Linked DNA regions of Oryctolagus cuniculus. The protein of the gene in region 1 purifies or fractionates together with the protein of each later gene. This does not show direct contact. Links are inferred from orthologs where the notes say so. Each region holds a gene or a part of one and is shown on either strand. Other genes may lie near its edges. The genes, in order: OGDH, DLST and PDHA1.

Region 1 (5,817 bases):
CAAACCCATATAGACAATTAAAAGCAACACACTTCAGACTAACATCATTCATGAGTACAGATGCAAAATCCTTACCCCAACACCAGTCACATCAGCACACTCTGGCAATACAAAACATGCAAAGGCAACAGACAACACGGCTGTGGTGGATCGGATAGGCTAAGTGTGTCCCCCAGGGTCCCCAGGCAGTGTGCATGAGACGCTGCGACCAGATTAGCAAGAAACAATCCTGATAAGGAATAAAACACAAGATCAGTCTACCTGACTTCAAGACCCACTGGGTGGCACTGGTGATGAGACAGATCAACAGAACAGAGGACGCAGAAACAGTCACACACCTGATTTTTTTAAGATTTACTGATTTACCTGGAAGGCAAAGTTAAGAGAGAGACAGAGACAACTTCCATCAGCTGCTCCACTCCCCAAATGGCCACAGCTGGGAACTCCACCTGGGCCTCTCACATGGGCGGCAGGGGCCCAACACCTGAGTCATCTTCCGCTGCTTTCCCAGGTGCATCAGCAGGGAGCTGGCTCAGAAGTGGAGCAGCTGGGACTTGAACCGAGCTCCCATCCGGACGTCGCATGTGGCATCTCAACCTGCTATACCAGCCCCACACCTGATTTTTGACGAAAGTGCAAAAGCCACTTTGTGGAGAAAGGATGTTTTCTAACAAATGGTCCTGGTTAAAGATCCACAAGCAGAAAAACCAAAGGCCAAAAACTTTACAATATACATAAATCACCTCAAAATTAATCAATTTAAATGTAAAGCACAAGCATAAAACTTCCAGAAAAGTACACAGAATAAAACCTTCAGGAACTAGGGCTCAACAAAAAAATTTCTTACATCTGACAGCAAAAGCGCAATCTAATCAAAAGCAAAACTGATAAACCAGACTTCATCAAAGTGAAGGACCATCAAATGGGGACCCACATTGCCACCTGCAATACCAGCATCCTGTATGAGCACCAGGTTCAAATCCCAACTGCTCCACTTCCAATAAAGCTCCGGGCTGATGTGCTGTGGGAGCCCCGGGTGGAATTCCAGGCTCCTAGCTTTGGCCTGGCCCTGCCCCAGGCACTGTGGCCATCTGTGGAGTAACCTGCAGATGGAAGATCTCTCTCCCTCTGTGAACTCTGCCTTTCAAATAAAACAATTAAATCTTAAAAATAATTTTTTTCTTTACTAAAACCCTTGAGGCTGGCATTGCTCATAGCAGGTAAAAGCTGCTGCCCGTGACACCGGCATCCCCTCTGGGCGCTGGCTCAGGACCGGGCTGCTCCACTTTCGACCCAGCTCCCTGCTAATGTGCCTGGGAAAGCAGCAGCAGACGGCCCAAGTGCTGGGTCCCTGCACACATGTGGGAGACCCAGAAGAAGTTCCTGACTCCTGGCTTCAGCTTGGCTCAGTACCGGCTGTAGCAGTCATTTGGGGAGTGAACCAGAGGATGAAGATCGATGGATCGATCTCTCTCCTCCTCTCTTTGTGTAACTCTTTCAAATAAATAAACCTCAAAAAAAAAAAAAAAAAAACCCTCAAACTTTTGCTCCGCAAAAGATGCAGTAAAGATGAAAAGACAAGCTCAGACTAGGAAAAAATATGTACAAAATACACATCCAAAAAGACCTGCTATCTAGAATATACAAAGAATTTCCAAACCTCAACGCTTATCCAATTACAAAACAGGCAAACATGGGGCGAGCGCTGCAGTGGGTAGAGCCGCAGCTTGAAGCACAGGCATCCCATATGCGTGCCAGCTGGGAGTCCCGCTGCTCTACTTCTTTTTTTATTTTTTTAAGATTTATTTTATTTATTTGAGCTACAGAGAGATGGAGAGAGGTCTTCCATCCACTGGTTCACTCCCCAGATACCCCAACGGCCAGAGCTGAGCTGATCTAAAGCTAGGAGCCAGGAACAACTTCTAGACCTCCCAAACAGGTGCAGGGCCCAAGGACTTGGACATGTACTGCTTTCCCAGGCCATAGCAGAGAGCTGGATCAGAAGAGGAGCAGCCGGGACTAGAACCGGCGCCCACATGGGATGACAGCACTGCAGGCTGGGGCTTTACCCCGCCACGCCACACGGTGGTTCCCGCTCTCCTTCTGATCCAGCTCCCTGCTAACGGCCTGGGAAAGCATCGTCAGATGGCCCAAGTGTTAGGCTCCTACACTAATGTGGGAGAGCCAGAAGCAGCTCCTGGCTCCTGGCTGTGGCCACTTGGGGAGTGAACCAGCAGATGGAAAATTCGCTCTTTCTCGCTGTAACTCTGCCTTCCAGATAAATACAAAAATCTTAGAGAAAAAAAAAAAAAAAAAAAAAAAAAAGGAAAGGCTATGAGTAAACATTTCACCCAAGAGAACACAAGGATGTCAAACAAGCACATGGAGATGGTCAACGTCACTCGCCACCAGAGAGGTGCAAATTACAGACATAATGAGACATCACTACACATCTAATAGCACGGCCGACGTAGAAAATAGCGTCAGCAGCTGTGGAAAAGCCGGATCACACACACTGCTGCGGGGAGTGCGCGGCCAGTCCACAGAGGAAGCTGGCCATTTCTGCTAGATTCAACACGCAGCTGCTCTGACTTGTGGATCGCACTTCCGGTAACTTATTTCAGAGAAACGTCAACTTTGTTCACATGGAAACCTGCACAAGAGGCAGTGGGCATTTAGCCCCGGGGCGACAGCTGCCGCCCACACCAGAACGCCTCGGGCACTCCCAGCTTCCTTCTGACGCACACCTGCGAGGCAGCGGCCACAGGTCCAGCAGACTCCGGCCACTCACGTGGGAAACCCGGGCTGTGCCTGACCTATCACCAGCCCTTGGGAAGTAAACCGGCATTACGGGAGCGCCAGCCCAGATGGCCACGGCCCTCCGCGGAGGAAGAGAGAAGCCCACCGCAGAGCCTGGAGGGAAACAGAGACGCCAGCGGCCAGCTGGGTGAACTCGCCGGCACGTCCGGCTGCTGCATTCCCAACACGAATCGAGGCCACCGCAGGGCGCTAAGCGGTGGGTGTGGTACGAGAAGGCACCGGGTCCGCGGCGGCAGAAACGCCCCGCATCCCGGCCTGGACCAACGGCAGTCTTCGGCTGTGGTCTCCAGAGCGTATCAAGCAGAGAAGTGGGTACAGGACTCCGCGCCCTGTACCCGCACGGAACGGACCAACGGAGTAGGTTCCCTGACTTACATAAGCCTCAACATTTTAAAACCAAGTGCTCCACGCACGCAGAGCCCCTGGGAACCGCGCGTCAGGACCAGGCTCCCCAGCCCGCGCCGCGGCACCCCCAGCTCCTCGCTGCGCTCTGCCAACACTCCGGAGTCCTTCGTGTCTCGCCCGCGAGCGGTTCACTCCGGACGCGGAATGGCGCACTTCACGTGGGCGCGTCCTACGGCGCGCGAGGCGCTACCTCAAGAACGCGGCGCCGAAACGTGCCAGGGCCCCCCGAAGCCCGAGGACGCGGCTCCGTCCGCCCCGCGCGGCGCTCAAGGACGCGCGCGCCCTCCGCGGGCTCGCCACAGGCACGCGGGGCGCACGGGACGCCCTCTCCGCCGCCCGACACGTGACGCCGCGCGACCTTGGGGGTCACCCTGGCCGCCGCTCCCCACTTCCGCCGCCGGGGCCCACCCAGGCCCCCACGGGCCTCGCCGCGCCATTGGCTGCCGCGCCCGCTCGTCAGGCGCGCCCCTCCCACCGCCCCGTCCGCCCGCTCTGTCCTACTCCACTCCGGGTCACCAAGCTGCCCGCGGCTCCAAGGGCGCAGGGCCCCACCCTCGCCGTGACCAGCGACTCGAGCCTGCGGGCGCCGCAGCCCCCGGCCCCTGCCCCCAGCCCGCAGCGGCGCGCGGTTACCTGTCTCCCGCGCGGCTCCACCCGACTGAGGCGCCGACACCCCGCTCCGGGGCACCAAACTCTCGGCCCCGCCCCGGCGCGTGGCGTCAGCACGTAGCCCCGCCCCGAGCAGGAGCCCCGCCCCTTCCACGAGTTGGCGTCGTGGCGTCACAGAAGCGCGCCGGACTCTGAGGGCGGTGGGGTAGGGGCGCCGGCTGCTGCAACCCAGGCCTGTGCTCGGGCCCGCAGGACGGACGGGTGGGCTTCAGCTGCCGCTTCCTCGGCCTCAGTGCCCGGTGCCTGACAGCCGTGTTTCCTAAGCCTCTTGGGAATTCGAGAGCGGTGAAATGGGTCGAATTTGAGCAACAAAGTCCGCGCCAGTAGGCGCCCATTTTGCGCCAGGCTCTGTGACTGGCGCTTCGGCTGCGCTATTCTGAGTGTTCCACCCTTAGTGTGCAGAAGGCAGGGGCCCACCCGGCCCCTGGCCCCAGAGCCCTCGACCGAGATAGAACGCTGATGGGCCCCTTTCAGAGTGTTAGGATTTGGGGAAAAGTCTTTCCAAACTGATGACGTCCGGTGAGTTACGGTTCGTCAAGTACTGAGGCAAGCCCTTGGGACGGCTTTGACGGAGCGAATCTCCGGCCTCTGGTCGCAGAGCAGCCCCTCCGTGAGGACTGAGTTGAGGGAGTGGTGGTCCCGCCGACCCCACGGGCGTCCCGGGTCGCCAGACGCAGGAGCTCCTTTGTGTCCTCTTTTTTTTAAATTTTTTAAATTTATTTATTTATTGACAGGCGGAGTGGACAGTGAGAGAGAGAAAGGTCTTCCTTTGCCGTTGGTTCACCCTCCAATGGCCGCCGCGGCCAGCGCACCGCGCTGATCCGAAGGCAGGAGCCAGGTGCTTCTCCTGGTCTCCCATGGGGTGCAGGGCCCAAGCACTTGGGCCATCCTCCACTGCACTCCCGGGCCACAGCAGAGAGCTGGCCTGGAAGAGGGGCAACCGGGACAGGATCTGGTGTGCCAGTGCCGCAGGCGGAGGATTAGCCCAGTGAGCCGCGGCACCGGCCTCCTTTGTGCCCTCTACGGACAACATCTGGGTCCCAGGTCCCACATGGAGGCCTCAAATGGAGGGAGCCCCTCAAGATCAGGTGCCCGGCCTGTTGCTGACCCAGCAAAGGAGGGCCACCTGGGTGCGCACCTGCCTCTAACCCCCAGCCGTAGCCTCAGAATTCCTTATCGTTAATCCCCCCAGGAACCCTGGAAGCCAATTTGTTAAGGTAGGTAGGTGCATAGTAGCGTATGCCAAAGAGGGGCTGCAGAAAATGAGTGTTTTAAAATACATATTTATTTATTTATTTGAAAGGCAGAGAGAAAAGGCCTTTCATTCGCTGGTTCAGTCCCCAAGTGGCCACAACACTGGGCTGATCCGGAGCCAGGAGTTTCTTCTGGTCTCCCTCGTGGGTGCAGGGGCCCAAGGACTTGGGCCATCCTCCACTGCTTTCCCAGGCCACAGCAGAGAGCTGGATCAGAAGTAGAGCAGCCAGGACCTGAACAGGCGCCCGTATGGGATGCCGGCACCGCAGGCCGCGGCTTTACCTGCTAAGCCACAGCACCACCCCTGAAAATGAACGTTTTTAAAGAAAGCCTTATATGCAGTGGAACAAGGAAACACCCTGCAAACAGCCCAGCAGTTGTACCATCTCCCAGGGGCCAGCGCAGGGGAACTCCCCTGCCCTTCACCAAGGGGACCATTAGGTCCACAACACTGTGCTCATGAGGTCCTAGGAGGATTTGTGGGAACTCCACACCCAGAAAACTCCCCACCCACAATTTCCCACAAGAGGGAGGCAGGGAGAAGGAGGGAACCCGTACTCCTGCCCACAGGACTGCAGTCTGAACACAGGGCTCAGCCCTTTGCTGGGCCGCCCTCCTGCGCTGTCACGTACTCGTCACCAAGTGAGCGCTCGGTTCTTCCCTGCGCAC
Region 2 (5,890 bases), on another chromosome or scaffold:
TTCCATTCCCTATGGGCATTCTCTTGATTATTTTTCTTTAAGCCATCTGCATAGATCTAAATGTCCTTATGAATATATATTTTACAATGAACATTTTTAAAAATTCTCCTTTGAACCTTGCTGGTTTTGAACTACCTGTCCCAGTAGATAATATTGTGTTCTGGGAGAGTGTGGCAGGCTGTGCTGGCTTACTGGGTTGTACTTTGGACTCCGAGAGAGCTCAGACATAAAAGCGAGGAAAGCAGTTTCAGCCTTTAGCCTCTGAGAAGGACTTTGCATGGTACCTGCATGGAGCGCGCGTGTGTGTATGTGTTGCATTTAAGACTGTAAAATTTAAAATTAACTCAGGTGAACCCTCAAACCCCAGGAGATGTGCTTTGCCAGCATCATCACCAGGCTTGAACTTCTAAGCCTTTGATAAGAATTGAAAAATTAGAGATTAAAAAGTGAAAGGATTAAGTAGCCATCAAAGACCCATTGGCAGCAACCCCGGCAGAAGATGGCCTTTGCTGCTGGTTTCTGTTCTTGGACTCCTTGTGTGCCTAGCGTGTCCCAAGCATGGGACTATTCAGTCATTTCACAAGTGTTTACTGGGAACCTAAGAGAACCAGGCTCTGTGTCACAGCCAGAGGATCAGGAAAGTAAAGAGAAGTTTCGTTCCCAGTTTCTGCTCTGCCCAGCGGAAGCAGCGCATGATGGCACCACGCAACACAGAGGCACAGGCACCTGCTTTGGAAGCCCAGAAGAAGTAACTGTTGACTCTGCCAGAGGGGTTAGGGAGGGTTCCAGAGAGAGACTTACAGGGTGATTACAGGCCCGCAGGGATGATTACAGGAGGGCGGGGCTGCGCAAAGAGCGGCATCTGTGGGAACGGGAGGGGCATCGGTCGAAGAAGCCAGATTATCAGGTGCCTGGTCAAGTGGCGGAGTTGAGACTTTGTCCGACAGACACGGAGAAGCAACCGAAAACTTTAGGCTGGGGAGCGACAGGATTAGGTTTGCCTTTCAGGATCTTTGACATAGGTGTGAAGGAGAAGCTAGAGAAAGTGGGAGTGTGGGGCCAGCGCTGTGGTGCAGCAGGTAAAGCTGCTCCCGGCTCCCTGCTCACACGCCTGGGAAAGCAGCAGAGGACGGCCAAAAGCTTGGAGCCCTGCACCCACATGGGGGACCCGGAAGAAGCTCCTGGCTCCTGGCTTTGGCCTGGCCCAAATGCAGCCATTTGGGGAGTGAACCAGTAGATGGAAGATCTCTCTCTCGCTCTCGCTCTCACTCTAATTCTGCCTTTCAAATGAATACAGTAAATCTTAAAAAAGAGCACGAGAGTGGAGAAAGAGTGCTCAGGGAGCTTCGGAAATAATCCAGGTGAGGGAGACCGAGGATTGGTCACAGCGGCAGCGGGGCACGGATTTTTCCCTGCAGGGTGGACAGTGAGAGAGAGAGACAAGACAGAGAGAAAGGTCTTCCTTTGCTGTTGGTTCACCCTCCAATGGCCGCCGCGGCAGGCGCGCTGCGGCCGGCGCACCGCGCTGATCCGATGGCAGGAGCCAGGTGCTTTTCCTGGTCTCCCATGGGGTGCAGGGCCCAAGCACTTGGGCCATCCTCCACTGCACTCCCGGGCCACAGCAGAGAGCTGGCCTGGAAGAGGGGCAACCGGGACAGAATCCGGCGCCCCGACCGGGACTAGAACCTGGTGTGCCGGTGCCGCAAGGTGGAGGATTAGCCTAGTGAGCCTCGGCGCCGGCTTTCCCTGTGTCTTAAAATCTGAGCTTGAATCATCGCCCGCTGCCTCCCGGGGGGGTCCTTGAGAGAGGAAGCAGAATTTGAACCAGGCACTCTGACACGAGACGTGGGCATGCAAGGCAGGACGTGAGCACCGCGGCCGATGCCTGCCCTTTCTTCTCCCGATTTCTGGTTGCATTCTCCGCCCCCCACCCCCAGTGGTACTTTCAGCACCTGGAGAGTCCTGACCAGGTAAGCTGCTTCAGGTGAAGACACCAGAAGGCACAGGCACAGACCACTCGGTCACACTTCATCAATTACCAGTTCAGCCGCAGGTTTATAAACCGCCGTCTCTATCAGGCAGGTGATGATCCATAACATTCAGGGGCCTGGGGACCTAAGGGGCGGCCACGTGGTTTCACTTAGGGAGCAGCAGAGCAGTGTGCTGACGGCAGGGAGGCCCGGATTCCGCCCACAAACTCTGCGCACCTGAGCTGTGCTGGGGTGCAGCAGCGAACAAGACCGAGTTTAAACTCCAGGTGATAGGAGTTCACGTTCTCAGGGCGGGGCCAATTTCCAAAAATGTGCGGCATGTACAGGAAACAGTTTGGAAGGAGAGCTTGAGGGTGTGTGTGTGTGTGTGAGGGAGAGAGAGGGAGAAGCCTGATGCTCTGAGAGGCAGTGACACCTGCCCAAGGCCACACAGGTGTAAGATCAGGCAGCCACGTATGCCAGGATCCGAGTTCAAAGCCCGTGCCTGCTTTTTGCTCTCTCTTCGTGGGGCAGGGGGCAGAATGGCTAGGTACCCCGGGGTCTCAGACAGAAGAGGGCCAAATTCCGAGCCAGCTCCGGGGAATGGCCAGGGAACGCTCGACCCCGGGGGCCCTGCGGTCGCCGACAGTCGTAGGCACCCTCGAGAGGGCTGTCTCGGGCAGGCAAGCAGGCAGCTCAGTGGCCACCACAGCCTGCTCTGGAACGCCGGACCCCGCGCCGCCCAGCCGCCCCCACCACCCTCGCCAATGGTTCGCTCCGAACACCCCTCGCAGCGTGGCGGGTGCTGCGGCCCGCCCCACTTCCGGTTGTTGCCGGGCCCTATATCCGGTGTCCGCCCGCCCTCAGCGCTGCTGTCGCGATGCTGTCCCGGTCCCGCTGCGTGTCCCGGGCGTTCAGCCGCTCGCTCTCCGCCCTCCAGAAGGTATGGTCCGGCCGGGCCGGAGCCTCGGCGGGTGAGCAACCTGCTGATGGACAGACGGGCGGCCGGGAAGGCGGGGGCGCAGCGCGCCTGCCAGGCCCGGCACCAAGGGCACTGGGACGCAGAGGCCGCGGGCTGGCCGGCCCGGGACCGCCTCGCCCTCGGGGCTGTGTTTCGAGGCCTGCGGGGCAGGCCTTCCCGAGGCACCCGCACCGACCGTCACCTGCTGCCCCCCGCCCCGCGCGCCGGGGCTGGGGAGCCGCTCCCGTCCCGACATCGGACGGCCTCTGCTGGACACTCGGGGGCCCGTCCCGTCCCTTCTGTTGAAGCCCGGGGGTGTCAGTCAGTCCCGTGGGGAAGTTGGGACGGTCGGGCGGACGCGGTGTGCCGGCGGGGTCCGCGCCCGTCGCGGCTGTCCGTGGAGTTGGGAGATTGCCCGTCCCCAGCGCCGGGGCAGCTTTGCGTGCGCGCTTCGCAGGAGGAGCGGTTTCTCCCCTCGTTTCACCTCGGGTGACGTCGATGATGTCTTCTTTCTCAACAGGGGAACTGCCCTCTAGGGAGACGCTCCCTGCCTGGTAAGTTCTGCGCCGGCCGTCGCCTGACCCGCTCTCCTCCCGGGGCAGAGCGGCGTGTACGGCCACAGGCAGCCCAGTTGCCGCCTGTACCCGCAGCGTCACGGAGTGTTTGCTGTGCGCCAGGCCCCTGCCAGCCCCTCGCCCAGGACCCAGCAGCCCGCAGGCCAGTGGGAAAGGCCAGATGTGCACGCACTACCCATCAGATGAGCAGGCGCGAATTTTGGTTCGCGGGGTTGGGGTGGGGAGGACAGGGGCGCCTGCTCCGAGTAGGTGACATCGAGTCTGCATCCTGGAGGATGTAGCCGGGGAGAGCAGGAGGCAGAGAGGGAGTAGCTTGTCCAGTCCCCGGGTAAGGAAGGAGGCTGGCAGTGCTTGGGAGCTGGAGGAGAAGGGGGTTCGGCCAGGCATTTTGGTTAAGGGGGAGAGTGCCGTGAGATAGCAGACGGAGTCTGCATTGTTGGAAGGAGTTTAGTTTTTTATCCCTTTTTTTCTTATTTTTTGGGGGAGATTATTAGTAGTTTATCTTATATAACTTATCTTTAAAATTAGGTGCCTTGTATATTTGTTGGATGAGTTAGTTTTATTGTAGGCTTTCATTGTACCAGATATTCTCACTGCGATCTGTGCGTATTTTAGTTCATCATCACAAACCTGAATGAGAAGTATTATCTCTATAAATGCATAACCCAAGGCAAGAAAGGGTAAGTGCTTTGGCCAAGGTCACTCAGCCAACTACTGGTCAAGCCAGGCCTACCTGACTCCCCAGCTTGAACTCTTACTTTTTTTTTTTTTTAAAGATTTATTTATTTGGAAGGCAGAGTTAGAGAGGGAGAGATAGAAAGAGATCTTCCATCTGCTGGTTCACTCTCCAATAGCCACAGCTGCGCCAGGCCAGAGCCAGGAACTTCACCTGGGTCTCCCACGTGGGTGCAGGGACCCAAGCACCTGGGCCATCTTCCACTGCTTTCCCAGGTGCATTAGCAGGGAGGTGGATCTGAAGTGGAACACCTGGGACTTGAACTCGTGCCCTTATGGGATGCCAGTGCTGCAGGCAGCTGCTTAACACTGACTCCTCAGCCTAAACTTTTTTTTTTTTTTTTTTAAGATTTTATTTATTAGAGAGCTAGAGTTATAGACAGAGGGAGAGACAGAGAGAAAGGGTGTCCATCCACTGGTTCACTCTCCAAGTGGCCGTGATGACCAGAGCTGGGCTGATCTGAAGCCAGGAGTCTGGAGCTTCTTCCAGGTCTCCCACGTGGGTGCAGCACCCAAGCACTTGGGCTGTCCTCTGCTGCTTTCCCAGGCACATTAGCAGGGAACTGGATTGGAAGTGGAGCAGCTGGGCTCAAACTGGCACTCATATGGGCGCCTGCTGGCACTGCAGGCCATGACTTAACCCACTGTACTACAGTACTGACTCCTAGCCTGAACTCTTAATCCATTATGTTCTCATTTACTCATGTACTCAATAAATGGTTTGAGTGCTACTACAGTGCCAGCCCCTGTGCCTGGTGACAAGGAAACAGCAGATGGTCTCCACATTCGAAGATCTTAGGCTGGCTGGAGAGAGCGTGAGCAGATGTTTGTGCACACGTAAGGACATGATTGCATTGTGGGTACTCAGAAGTCCAGCTTGATGAGACAGGGGATGATGCAGTCCAGCTTGGGAGAGTAGGGAATGCTGATAAAGGCTTCCCTGAAGAAGTGACATTGAAGCTGAGACTTGAATACGTAGAAATTAGCCAGGTAAATGATATTTCAGGCAAAGGGAATTGCTCTGTCGAGGTTTTTAGGCAGGCTGGGAATTGCCCTATTAGGGGAATGGAAAGAAGCCTACCTGGCTGCAAAGTTAGGTAGGACTGGATGGTACAGGACTGTGCAAAGTGTTTGGACTTTATCCTGAGTCCTGAGAATGTGAGACACCAGCACTGTGTCAGTTCCTAGCAGGCGCTCAGTGATGAACTTTCTCTACTAGGAATCCCGAGAAATGTCAGTAAACATTCTCCTCTTTATAGACTGGCAGGACAAGGGGGGGACCCTTGCACGTGGGGTTGCATCTTGGCTGGGCATTCACCCGGGGTAGTCAGTCAATCCCCGGAAGCCCTGCTTATATATGAAAAGCAGTGAAGGCAGGTGGTTGTACGACTTCAGAGTTGCTATGAGCCTTGAACATCAAAGTAGGTCGTTACGTGCAGCTTTTTATAAACCCTCAAGCACTGTGCGAATGAAACCTGCTGTAGGATGAACTGTAAATTAGACGTGGTTCCAGAAATCAGTGTGGGCTGCTGGCTGTTCCGTTTCAAGGATACGCTGCTTAGTCACTGACTGCCAGACATGGAGGGGACTGACCGGACTCTGGGCGTGTTTGCGAGGAGGTGGGCTTGAGAGGAAGCTGTCTCTCATTT
Region 3 (5,890 bases), on another chromosome or scaffold:
CAAATTTATATTTCTAGCTTGTGTCCTAGACTTACAACTGCCACTTGCTGGGGGACAACTTCGGGGAGCTGTCCCACCACTGCCTGCAGGCCAGCAGGTCCACAAACGGTCAGGCCGGCTTCTCTAAACTGGCCATCTGGCCTCGCACTCTTCTCATTCTCCTTTCTCCAGCTTCCACATTCTGGCAGCAGCAGCATCTGCGGAGGCCACGCTGGGCAGCCTGCTTCACTGCCATCCCGTCCCTCTCAGCCTTTAGGGAGCGCTCATCGCGTGGCAACCTGGTCATGGAAGTACAAGTGTGAAGACGTACCAAGTCCTCTACACTGTTGCTGTCCACCCAATTTTCTGGTCTCCCTCCTGCACATTAGAGGAAGTGATATGTGTTACTTCTGGCAGAAGCTTTTTTTTTAAAAACAAACAAACAAACAAACAAATATGTCTTACGGGTTAGATCATTCTTTTTTTTTTTTTTTAAGAAAGATTTGAAAGGTGTGAGTGACAGAGGAGGAGGGGAGGCCTTCTATCTGCTGGTTAGTAAATGGCTGCAACAGCCAGGGCTGGGCCAGGCTGAAGGCAGGAGCCCAACACATCATCCTGGTACTCGGGCCATCCTCTGCTCCTCTGCTGCTTTCCTAGGTGCATTACCAGGGAGTTGGATTGGAAGCAGAGCAGTTGGGACTTCAGCTGGTGGTTATATGGGATGCTGGCATCGCAGGCATTGGCTTAGCCCACTCCACCACTACGCTGATCTCAGGCAGAAGCTCTGAGAGCCATTCGAAGTGACAGCTTTTCCCTTCACCGTGAGACAAGCTAAGTTCCAGACAGAGGTTGCTCCATCACTCAAGGTTCCAGAGAAATGACATGGAGTGCAGTCCCAGCCAAGCTGTGGAAGTTGTGGTATGAACAAGCTAAGTCACTTCATGTTTTTTTTTTTTTTTTTTTTTTTTTGACATGCAGAGTGGACAGTGAGAGAGAGAGACAGAGAGAAAGGTCTTCCTTTTACTGTTGGTTCACCCTCCAATGGCCGCCGCGGCCGGTGCACTGCGCTGATCCGAAGGCAGGAGCCAGGTGCTTCTCCTGGTCTCCCATGAGGTGCAGGGCCCAAGCACTTGGGCCATCCTCCACTGCACTCCCTGGCCACAGCAGAGAGCTGGCCTGGAAGAGGGGCAACCGGGACAGAATCCGGCGCTCCGACCGGGACTAGAACCGGGTGTGCCGGCACCGCAAGGCGGAGGATTAGCCTAGTGAGGCGCAGCGCTGGCCAGTCACTTGATGTTCTTAAAGAGACTAAAATTTGGGGTTGAGTGTTACAGCAACATAACCTAGCTCACTCTAAATCAGTCCAGTTTCTTCCTAACTCCTTGAGTCATTCCTCGCAAGTCACAGTCTAAGCCCCTCATCATTGTGACCGCCATCCTCTGGATGCCACTCATTTTTGTCATTATCCTTCTTTAAATGGAGCCAATTCAGAACCCAGAACCTTAGGTGCAATTCCAGCAGGGCCCAGCAGGATGGGTTTCTGAGCCCTGACTCCTCTCTACAGAGCCCAGTTGCTTTGGAGTCTGTTTCTCTGTGTCCTTTTATCTTTGGCTGTGTCCTGCTGTTAACTCTCTTTGAGCTTCTGAATCAGTAAGTAGAGCCAAAAGGTTTTTCCCACTGACTCCTCAGTATTTAGTTGGGGAATCAGCAGCATTTTACAACTGTTATGTGATCCTTTACCTATTTGTTTTTCTTTGAAAAGCAGAGCGCACCCTGCTAGGCAGCAGGTGACGGCTCCGCTCTAGTAGTTGGATCCCTGCCAACCACGTGGGAGACCAGATTGTATTACGTGATCTTTTAAAGCCAAGTTAGTGGCAGAATCACTTACAAAGACTGTACCGTCTATCTTTCGGCCCCGGCTAGGCTGCTAATCTTCATCATCTCGTGTGCAGAGCCAAGGCTGCAGTTACAGCACCAGCAGGACCAGCCACACGTCAGGACCAGCCTGAAGGCTACCACCGTCGTCTGCGCAGAATCCAACCAGAAGGCTGGAGGCGGGGACCCACTCTCCCACGCAGGCGCCTTCAGATAGTCGACCCCTCCCTCTCCCGCCGCATGGTGACGCGAGGAAGCCGCAACTCCGCCCCCCATGGCGCCGACACACAATGGGTGGTCGCAGGCCTTTCAAGTGGGCGGAACACAGCCTGGGAGCCGTCCTGGTTGGCCCGCGGCCCGGCGCGGCGCATGACGTCATTCCGACGCCACGTCGCGTTGCGTTTAAGGCGTGGCTTCTGCTGGGGCGCCTGAAGGAGACTTGGGGTCGGCTTAGCAGTTCCCCTTGGGCAGTTTGGGAGTCGCCGTTGTTGCAGCTTCTTTGCGCTCCATGAGGAAGATGCTGGCCGCTGTCTCCCGCGTGTTGTCTGGCGCTGCCCAGAAGCCGGTGAGGCGGCCCGAGCCAGCGGCCTGGACGGATCGGGATGGAGCGCGAACGGGACCGAGGCGGTGCCGGAGGAGGCCGAAGGGCGGGCCGGGCCTCGGGGCTCGCAGTTAGACGCGCTGCTTGGATTGGGCGCTGAGTAAAAGATGCGGCGGGGAGCCGGGGGAGCTGCGGGCTTTTGCTTTTGCCTCCACGCCGTGCATTCTGCGTCTAGTCTCGGGGGGGAACGGCGCTGGGCGGCCGACTGGGGAGGGGGGGCAACCCCTGCCGGGTCCGCGTGGAGATCGGTCACGACTCTCCGGCTCTCCCCGAGCCCAGCTCCGCGCGGAGCGATTAGGTGTGCTCGAAAAGTGCCCGTTGGTTGCAGGGTATGGAGGGGGTGCCTTAAGCTTGTAAGAGTCTTCACTTGACCCCACTCATTTCAGTTCTCCCTAACTTAATGTTTGTCTTGGCTGAGAGGTCCTTTAGTGGGTGTTAGTAAAGAGCGTGGAATCCGGAAACGAACTGGCTGGAATTCAAACAGCAGTCCTGTGAGCTTGGGCAAGTTTTGAACGCCCCCCCCCCACCTTCCACCCCGCCCAGTGTCCTTATCTCTAAAATGTATATGAGGGTACCTACCTCGTGGGGTTGTCTGAGGATTCTACGAGTGACGCGTGCGTAAACGTTTCCGACTAGCACCTGGCACATAGTGGGTACTCTGTGTTGACCGCCCAGTTTGGTGTACGTTTGTGGGTGTCTGAGGGTTTAGACGTGGTCACGCTCCCCAGGAACCCACTTCCTCTCCGGCTTAACTTTTCTTGGCAGTGGAAAGCGGTCCAGCGGAACCCACAGGAAACTGCTCTCCCCCCTTAAGTGCGGGGGGGGGGGGACGTACACACATCCCCTTAGGGTAAAGGTGGCTAAAGGAAATCGCACTTAAGCTATTTGCAGCCCCAGTTTTCAGATGCGCCTTTCACCTGAGCTGCTAGCATTTTGACCTCTGGGCACAGTGAGATGGGGTTACTTGGTATAACTGCAGAGCCAAGCTTTGACTTGTAATTCCGGTTCTAGTAATTCTCCCAGGACTCGATGCAGCTGTGCCTAGTCTGGGCAGAGGTTGTCAAAAGGTAGCGGCTGAACCCCTCTAGGAATCCCATTTACTAAGATTTACAGGAGAATTTGATTGATCAGAACTGTATTGACCTTGGAATTGTACTGGGATTGACCTGATGGCGAAGCACAAGGGGCATTCCTTTTTTCTGCCCACACGCAGGCTCCAGCCACCATTTCTTGAGCTCGCAGTATGTGCTAGGCACTAGTAGATACCTCCCAGCTTTATCTCGTTGAATCCCCTAGCATTGGTTTTTAGTGGAAAAACAGCAGTAGAAACGTGTTTGCAGCATTGTGCAGTGCTTTAGTTATCTGCAGAAGTTAAGTGGCCTTTCCTTTCTGCTGTGAGATTGGATAGACTAGAAGTGCAAAAGCAGTAGAAACTTTGTTATTGAAGCTTCGCACTTAGTGGAAAGAAACAGTTTCCCAGGAACTTCAAAGTTAAACTTGGGAGGTGTCAAGAATTTGAATTGCGATTGGAAACTAATAGATAAAAAGTTTCCACTGTCAAACCTTGCTAGCAGAGTTTCTGCCTTTTCTCTAAGTCATCCCTTTTGGTGATACCGGTTTGTAGATGTACCAGTACTTAGGGGCTCAGAAACACCCTTAAATCGTTATTATTAGGCACTCAGGTTTATTCTTTTCCCCTACCTTCCAGTAGGAAAAAAAATTGAGTTCCAGCAGTCAGGTCACCCTAAAGTACCCAGGCAGCTTCCCACTTGGTGCAAACTCTACAGATAGTTTTCTGTGTGACTATACGTGTCACGTGCTAGTCAACTAGGAGGCATTTCTGAAACTTCTGAAGATGGTAAGGACCAGATGTTTCACCTTTATCTTTTTAAAGGATGGAGTAATAAACCAATGTGTCAGGGTTTACACATTTTATTTGAAAGGCAGAGATGGACTGAGAGAGATCTTCTGTTTGCTCATTCAATATCTGCAATGGCTGGAGCTGAGCCAGCGGGAGCGGGAGCCAGAATCTTAGTGTAGGTCTCCCATGTGGTTGGCAGGAACCCAACTATTTGAGCCATGACTGCTGCTTCCCAGAGTACATGTAGCAGGAAGCTGGACTTGGGAGTGGAGCTGGGTCTTGAACCCGGGTACAGTGGGATTCAGGTGTCCCAACCAGCATCCTAACTGCTATGCTAAATGGCCAACCCCTGAGAATAACTATATTTTGTGATTTTTTTCATACTTATGGATGTCTTTTTATTTAAATATAAAAAACAAAATAATCAAGGTTTTTACTTTCATATATATGTAAAAATATTTTTTGCAAATAAGCCTTTCAAAAATCCTGATAATAATCAACTGCGACTAACCTAAATTAGGCAAATTGGGTACTAGAGTTGCACCATCTGTGTGATACTCAGAGAGGGAGGGGATGGAGAAAGGTCAAGTGGTTCGTTTGATTGATGGTTGTGACACTTTATCCACATTGTGCCCTATCTTGCCTTCCAGAACTCTGTTTTTTCCCCTTTTCATTTTTTTTTTCTTTTCTCCTCTTAAAACCAGGGATGTATGGTGATTTATCTCAGGCTTGTCGATTATCATTGTATCATGACATGTTTGGCAGGAAACTTTGAATGAATTACAAGCTTGTGATTTATTTTTGAATTAAATTGATAGTTTTAAAAATTCTTATAGAAGACTGAATTGCATTTAAAATCATAATCTTTGTCTTAGTGTTTTTATTTGTTGCGACTTCTTTTTTTTAAAGAGGTTTATTTGAAAGGCAGAGAGAGAGAGAGAGAAAGAGAAAGAACTGCTAGTCATTGAGTCTCTCCTCAAATGGCCACAACAGCCAGGGCTGGGCTGAGCTGAAACCAGAGCTGGGAACTCCATCCAGGTCTCCCATGTGGGTAGCAGGTTTCCTGAGCACTTGGGCCATCTTCCGTTGCCTTCCCAGGTTTATTAGCAGGGTGCTGGATCAGCCAGGACTCAAACTGGCATTCTGAAACAAGTGTCAGCCTGACACTGCCACAGCACTGGCCTCAATGACGTGAGATACTTTTTTTTTTTTTTTTTAAGATTTATTTATTAATTTGAAAGAGTTGAGGAGAGAGAATCTTCTATCTGCTGGTTCACTCCCCAGATGGCTTCAACGGCTGGGGCTGGACCAGGCTGAAGCCAGGAGCCAGGACCTTCTTCCAGGTCTCCCACTTGGGTTGTGGGGCCCAGGCACTTAGGCCATCTTCCACTGCTTTCCCCAGGTCATTAGCAGGGAGCTGGATCAAAAGTGAAGCAGCCGGCACATGAACTGGTGCCCATATGGGATGCCAGCATCATAGTGGCGGCTTAGCCCACTACACAACAAGACTGGCACCCTTGGAGATCTTTACTCCTAGTATTCTTTTGGCTTTTTAAATAATAGGTAAGATTTCT

Evidence for each region.
Region 2: the proteins of OGDH (region 1) and DLST fractionate together in Homo sapiens (co-fractionation; 3 studies listed by BioGRID). This does not show direct contact. The link is inferred for Oryctolagus cuniculus from reciprocal best matches to the Homo sapiens genes OGDH and DLST.
Region 3: the proteins of OGDH (region 1) and PDHA1 fractionate together in Homo sapiens (co-fractionation; 3 studies listed by BioGRID). This does not show direct contact. The link is inferred for Oryctolagus cuniculus from reciprocal best matches to the Homo sapiens genes OGDH and PDHA1.

The regions. Positions count from the first base shown.
Region 1 is NC_091447.1:51,952,145-51,957,961, reverse strand, and holds the start of OGDH (2-oxoglutarate dehydrogenase complex component E1), read right to left. Parts: upstream 3,962-5,817; 5' UTR 3,859-3,961; intron 3,555-3,858; exon of another isoform or gene 3,416-3,554; intron 1-3,415. UniProt on the Homo sapiens protein: 2-oxoglutarate dehydrogenase (E1o) component of the 2-oxoglutarate dehydrogenase complex (OGDHC). Participates in the first step, rate limiting for the overall conversion of 2-oxoglutarate to succinyl-CoA and CO(2) catalyzed by the whole OGDHC.
Region 2 is NC_091451.1:20,941,572-20,947,461, forward strand, and holds the start of DLST (dihydrolipoyllysine-residue succinyltransferase component of 2-oxoglutarate dehydrogenase complex, mitochondrial), read left to right. Parts: upstream 1-2,790; 5' UTR 2,791-2,850; coding exon 2,851-2,913; intron 2,914-3,451; coding exon 3,452-3,485; intron 3,486-4,397; exon of another isoform or gene 4,398-5,890. UniProt on the Homo sapiens protein: Dihydrolipoamide succinyltransferase (E2) component of the 2-oxoglutarate dehydrogenase complex. The 2-oxoglutarate dehydrogenase complex catalyzes the overall conversion of 2-oxoglutarate to succinyl-CoA and CO(2).
Region 3 is NC_091453.1:5,375,711-5,381,600, forward strand, and holds the start of PDHA1 (pyruvate dehydrogenase E1 component subunit alpha, somatic form, mitochondrial), read left to right. Parts: upstream 1-2,226; 5' UTR 2,227-2,362; coding exon 2,363-2,419; intron 2,420-5,890. UniProt on the Homo sapiens protein: The pyruvate dehydrogenase complex catalyzes the overall conversion of pyruvate to acetyl-CoA and CO(2), and thereby links the glycolytic pathway to the tricarboxylic cycle.